2 linked regions of the Saccharomyces cerevisiae S288C genome follow. The main gene of each other region encodes a partner of the protein of the gene in region 2 in a complex. Each region holds a gene or a part of one and is shown on either strand. Other genes may lie near its edges. A codon is read from its position in the direction of its gene.

The links.
Region 1: the proteins of HHT1 (region 2) and YTA7 are in contact, whole or in part, in a cryo-EM structure (PDB 7UQJ), measured with the Saccharomyces cerevisiae proteins. Residues at the interface, in NP_009564.1 of Saccharomyces cerevisiae: Lys10 (codon at 1,044), Thr12 (codon at 1,038), Gly13 (codon at 1,035), Lys15 (codon at 1,029), Ala16 (codon at 1,026), Pro17 (codon at 1,023); in NP_011786.1 of Saccharomyces cerevisiae: Ser490 (codon at 538), Lys491 (codon at 535), Trp492 (codon at 532), Val493 (codon at 529), Lys530 (codon at 418), Gln531 (codon at 415), Glu532 (codon at 412), Ile534 (codon at 406).

What each region holds. Positions count from the first base shown.
Region 1 is NC_001139.9:1,025,615-1,029,374, reverse strand, and holds the start of YTA7 (chromatin segregase YTA7), read right to left. Parts: upstream 2,006-3,760; coding exon 1-2,005. Other genes in the region: HUA1 (Hua1p), read left to right, coding at 2,722-3,318; FOL2 (GTP cyclohydrolase I), read left to right, coding at 3,640-3,760. UniProt on the Saccharomyces cerevisiae protein: Functions as an ATP-dependent nucleosome disassembly factor that helps evict canonical histone H3 from the 5'-end of genes upon their induction.
Region 2 is NC_001134.8:254,796-257,401, reverse strand, and holds HHT1 (histone H3), read right to left. Parts: upstream 1,072-2,606; coding exon 661-1,071; downstream 1-660. Other genes in the region: inorganic diphosphatase IPP1, read left to right, coding at 1-290; HHF1 (histone H4), read left to right, coding at 1,718-2,029. UniProt on the Saccharomyces cerevisiae protein: Core component of nucleosome. Nucleosomes wrap and compact DNA into chromatin, limiting DNA accessibility to the cellular machineries which require DNA as a template.

The DNA.
Region 1 (3,760 bases), on a different chromosome or scaffold from region 2:
CTAACATGAAATCGCTAACTTTGACTTTAATCTTAGAAGGGTCCACCAAGAGTTTATCATTTGACCTATAAATTTGAGGAAAGCTTCTTTGTATACTTATTAGTGCAGCCTCAGTGCATAGGGACCTCAGATCAGCACCACCATATCCTTTGGTCAAAAAAGCCAATTTATCAATGAAGTTGGTTGACAACGGTGAACTCCATTTCCTGGTCTGAATTTGCAAAATTTTAAAACGTGCTTTAACATCAGGTAATGGAAAATAAAATTCTCTATCAAATCTTCCCGGCCTTCTTAATGCGGGATCCACTGCATCGGGTCGATTTGTGGCTCCGATGACAATGACTTGGCCTCTATTGTCCATACCATCCATCAGCGCTAATAATGTGGAAACAATACTAGCATGGATCTGTTCTTGTTTGGAACTTCTCACAGGCGCTAATCCGTCGATTTCATCAAAAAAAATGATGGAAGGTTGATGTTTTTTAGCTTCTTCGAATAACAAACGGAGTTGTCTTTCAGCTTCACCAACCCACTTGGATAAAATATCTGCACCTTTACGCATAAAAAATGTGATCTTCCTTTCATCAGAAGAACAACTTGCTGCTAACGCTCTTGCCATAAGTGTTTTACCCGTACCAGGAGGACCATGGAAAAGAACACCCCTTGGGGGCGTGATATTAAAATTTTGATACAATTCTGGGTATAATAGTGGTAAGGCCACCATTTCCTTTAATTGGTCAATGTAGTTGTCTAAACCACCTATATCGTCAAAATTTACATTCATGTCTACGCCTAATGGATCGAGGTCTGCAATTTCTGGTTTTTTCTTCTTCTTTTTTTGCGTGTTCTCTTTCTTTGTTTTCGGTGTCACGCCAAGAGGTAATATCTCATCATCGGAAGAGTCTGAATCCAGTATTAATTTATTGTTGTTATTATCACTGAATGCAGATGGGACTTGGTTGTAAAAATTAGTATTCTTACCAAATATTGTAGTTACGTCATTGCCACCAAAAGGTCCACCAGTGGGAAAAAGCCTTCTTGTGGGACCAGAATTTTGACTAGCATTCCAACCACCGCGACCACGCCGTGCAGGTGATGGGTTATGAAAAGAAAGTGCATTGTTATTCTTATCTATAAATTCTTCTGCGTTGCTAGCAGTTAGTGGTGGTGGTAATTTGTAATTTACCGGCTTAGTTCTTTCGCGAAGAAATCTTTTTTCCCTGATAGGACTATCTTCCTGTAACTCTCTAATTTCATCAGCTAAAGTTAACGCTTCATTCCTGCTATTATCATTCTCATCGTCATTTTCTTCATTTGAAGTACGCGAATGTCTTGTCCTACTTCTTAAAGCTCTTCTTACCGGTGGTGGAGTTTCTGGGTGACGTGACGATCTTGTTCTTCGAGAATTTGCCCTTTTCAAACGTTTAGAAGAAGCCGAATGGCTTATTCTGTCTCCTTCTTCGTCATCCTCATCGTATTCTTCATCGTCATCAGGGTCTGGTACTACAAATTTCCTATCGGCCGCTCTGCGCCGACGGTTGTTATCCTTCGAGTCTTCATCCAAATACTCATCTTCAAATTCGTCTGCTTCTTCCTCCTCTTCATCATCGTCGACATCTTCCTCATGAAAACTTTCGTCATCTTCTTCTGGATCATGCGCTTTTCTTTTTCTCAAGTTCCTTTCATTAGTAAGCTCTTCGTTCGTTCTGGCGTTTTCGTGCGGTGATACAAGATCAACATCATCGTCTTCATCATCGCCTTTCTGGTTGTTGTTATGATGTTCATCACTAGTAACATCAACGGGCGTCTCATCTTTGTCCATGACCTGGTCATCTTCCAAAAAATCAAACACTTTCTCAATTTCTGCGTAGTTTATTTTTCTCAAAGAGCGAGTTGTTGTATGGATTATGCCATTTTCGTCTTTAATCTGTGTTTCATACCCAACCTTTGCGTTGCTTGCATCTTCAACGTCGCTACCGCGTCTATTCCTTAAATTTCGTGCCATGTTCTTTCTGCACCAATTGTGAATAAATAGCGAGAAGAGAGAAATAGACCGTGGTAACTTCTTTTTATGACTGTCGAAAACAACAATGGGTTAGTAAGGAGTACGCAAGATCCTTCAGACGTTTTGCTTTATTTAAGACCCTACGCAGTTCCTTTTCTGCTCCTTTTCGTCCCAATATTGCTCTTTCGCTACCACTTTGTCCTTTTTCGCACACATGGCCGTACAAAATAACAGACGGTACGTTTTTAGTGATAATAAACAAGTTTATAGAGGCAGAAAAAAATTCCTCAGCGGCTAATGCCTCAACAAGTTCAGCTGCAAACGATGAAAAGACGCACACAAAAGCGAATAGAAATAACCGATCACCACAGTTCCTCTTTAAAACATCTCAAACTCAGCATTAACTTTCAAATCAATCCAGTGAAAGTATGCTTGGTTTGACACTTCACTGCCATTTCCTCCTGCCTGCCTATCTGATGCTTTGCCACCACAAGAGTGTTTTCCCTATGGCTTAATCGCTTTTTTCCATTTATTTTTCTCTTTCCCCCTTTTAATAGAGGGAAGAGAGCAGAACATACAAACATATCATTTTCTACGGTATAGCCTCCGCCTCCATCTTTAATAGTGACACTTCCATCAAGGGAATAAAGAGGCTTCAAGTCAAGAACTAAGCAGTCCCAAAAAATACCCATAAAACGAGTATAAACCATACTGTTATGTCTAAAGACACGCATGATGATGAACTGCCGAGCTACGAGGACGTAATCAAGGAAGAGGAGAGATTGCAATCTCAACCGCCACGACCACCAAGACCAGCAGCTAACTTGGCGCAAGGGCACCAATCAAGACCCCACCAAAGGCCCTCGACAATGCCAGCAACGTCCTCATCCCAAACATATGCTCACTCACACTCTTATACGCCTACAAGTTCCCAACCACGGCCTCCACCGAGGCCACAACAGAATCCTAGCTTGCCCTGGACATACCCTCCCAGGTTTTACTGTTCCAAGTGTGGAAATACGGGTTACAAGTTGAAGAATGGACGATCTTGCAAGTCGTGTTGGAGGAGGTTTGCACCTCAAAATAACGTTGTTTCTGCACCGACATATTACACAAACTATACAATGCCCGTGTACACCAACGCATGGCAGGGTAATAGGCCCTTGTACGTTCAACCAGGGGATCCTCGCCTGGGTGGCGTGCTATGTGGTGAATGCAGAGGGTCCGGACGCACCAGATTCCTGTTGGACGAAGATATATGTCCTCTTTGTCATGGTGTAGGCAGAATTATCACCCAGCCTCAACGCTATTAGCGCATGAAAATTTAGGATTTGGATGACCCGGTACGGCCTTAGTAGAAAAGCTGTGTCGCTCACCGAAAAGAAAAAAGACCGAACAACTGTAGGATGAAAAGCATATTTTAATGCTCCTAATTTTCAAACATGTCTATTACATACTTATCACATAATCCGACTGATTTGCCCTTCTTTAACTTCTTTCATTTATTTTTACGGTGCCAACCGTCTGATCGATATAGCATCCGTTCATAAAATATTATACGACTCCATCCTCAATCGTGATTGTGCGTGCGTGACTCATTTTTTGTTAGAACCAATACTTTCAATCATCCCAAAATGCATAACATCCAATTAGTGCAAGAGATAGAAAGACATGAAACCCCGTTAAACATTAGACCTACCTCTCCATACACTTTAAACCCTCCTGTCGAGAGAGATGGGTTTTCTTGGCCAAGTG
Region 2 (2,606 bases):
TTTACAAAATCCCAGATGGTAAGCCAGAAAACCAATTTGCCTTCTCCGGTGAAGCTAAGAACAAGAAGTACGCTTTGGATATCATCAAGGAAACACATGACTCCTGGAAACAATTAATTGCTGGTAAGTCTTCTGACAGCAAGGGTATTGATTTGACCAATGTTACTTTGCCTGACACCCCAACCTACTCCAAGGCTGCCTCTGATGCCATCCCACCAGCTTCTCCAAAGGCAGATGCTCCAATTGACAAGTCTATTGACAAGTGGTTCTTCATCTCCGGTTCTGTTTAAAATATTTTGAATTGAAAATGAGACACCTACCACGTATGCGGCTTCAAGTTGTTTAATATGTAGCTATATATCGATTATATAACTGACTCATGAATGAATATCTTCCTGCTGCAATTTTTCTTTAACCACATGGAAAGCCATAAATCTTGCCTCCTACAAGGCCTGGCTTTTTTCGAGGGTATCGCCAGGAAAAACAAATCAATAAATGTAAAACAAATAGAACCCTATTTTTTTTTATTAAAACCTATATTTTTGTAATAAAAAATAACTATTATACAACTGTTAAAGAACCCAGTAAACCTAAATATATTGATTTATATTTTATTGTGTTTTTGTTCGTTTTTTACTAAAACTGATGACAATCAACAAACTATGATCTTTCACCTCTTAATCTTCTAGCCAACTTGATATCCTTCTTTTGGATAGTGACACGCTTGGCGTGAATGGCAGCCAAGTTGGTATCTTCAAATAAAGAGACTAAGTAGGCTTCGACAGATTCTTGCAAGGCACCGATGGCAGAAGATTGAAATCTCAAGTCGGTCTTGAAATCTTGAGCGATTTCTCTGACCAATCTTTGGAAAGGCAACTTTCTGATCAACAGTTCAGTAGATTTTTGGAATCTTCTGATTTCTCTCAAAGCAACAGTACCTGGCTTATATCTGTGAGGCTTCTTAACACCACCGGTAGATGGGGCGGATTTTCTGGCAGCCTTAGAAGCTAATTGCTTTCTTGGGGCCTTACCACCAGTGGACTTTCTTGCTGTTTGCTTTGTTCTGGCCATTGTTTGCGTTTATATATTTATGTTAGATGTTTTTCTTATTAACTAGAAAGAAAGAATATAAAAGGTTGAGGAAAGAGATGTATCCCGAAGAATACACAGTCTTTTATATATGTATTTCAACAAGGAGCCGTGGAGGGTACCAAAAAGAAAAATCGCCCGGGCATTTCGTTATCTTCCACGCTAAAAGTCAAGGAGAGATATTACGGCCAGGATCGCAAAGGTGCAGAGCAAGGAAATGTGAGAAATTGTGAGAACGATAATGTATGGGACAATGCGAAAATGTGAGAACGAGAGCAAAAATCTTTTTTGTATCTCCCCGCCGAATTTGGAAACCGCGTTCTGAAAACTTCGCATCTTCACATAGTAAAACTGTTCCGAGCGCTTCTCCCCATAATGGTTAGTGGTAAAAACCGAAGTTGTTTACTTTAGCAAATGCCCGCGAATACGGTGGTAAATTGCCACCCCCCCTTCCCCATTCATTGGGTAAAGACCAATTTGATGGATAAATTGGTTGTGGAAAAGGTCTAATTCTTTTTCCTATAAATACCGAGATATTTTTTCTATATGATGGTTTCCGTCGCATTATTGTACTCTATAGTACTAAAGCAACAAACAAAAACAAGCAACAAATATAATATAGTAAAATATGTCCGGTAGAGGTAAAGGTGGTAAAGGTCTAGGTAAAGGTGGTGCCAAGCGTCACAGAAAGATTCTAAGAGATAACATCCAAGGTATTACTAAGCCAGCTATCAGAAGATTAGCTAGAAGAGGTGGTGTCAAGCGTATTTCTGGTTTGATCTACGAAGAAGTCAGAGCTGTCTTGAAATCCTTCTTGGAATCCGTCATCAGAGACTCTGTTACCTACACCGAACACGCCAAGAGAAAGACTGTTACTTCTTTGGATGTTGTTTATGCTTTGAAGAGACAAGGTAGAACCTTATACGGTTTCGGTGGTTAATTTAGCTAATTCTAAGAAAACGGTAACAACAAGCAAATATTTGGGATTCGTATTCAACTGCCCGGTTTTTCTTCTACAAATATGAGTGTATTATAGCGGGTTTAGGAGAAATATGTACAATTATAAACATATAAAGGGTATTTAATTTAATTTTAATTGGGTTTAAACAGTTTGATTATTTCTGCTACTTACCGAACTTGCATGGAATAGGGATCGCTTGTCTGTAACTTACACGCGCCTCGTATTTTTTAATGATGGAATAATTTGGGAATTTACTCTGTGTTTATTTATTTTTATGTTTTGTATTTGGATTTTAGAAAGTAAATAAAGAAGGTAGAAGAGTTACGGAATGAAGAAAAAAAAATAAACAAAGGTTTAAAAAATTTCAACAAAAAGCGTACTTTACATATATATTTATTAGACAAGAAAAGCAGATTAAATAGATATACATTCGATTAATGATAAGTAAAATGAAAAATCACAGGATTTTCGTGTGTGGTCTTCTACACAGACAAGATGAAACAATTCGGCATTAATATCTGAGAGCAGGAAGAGCAGGATAAAAGGTAGTATTTGT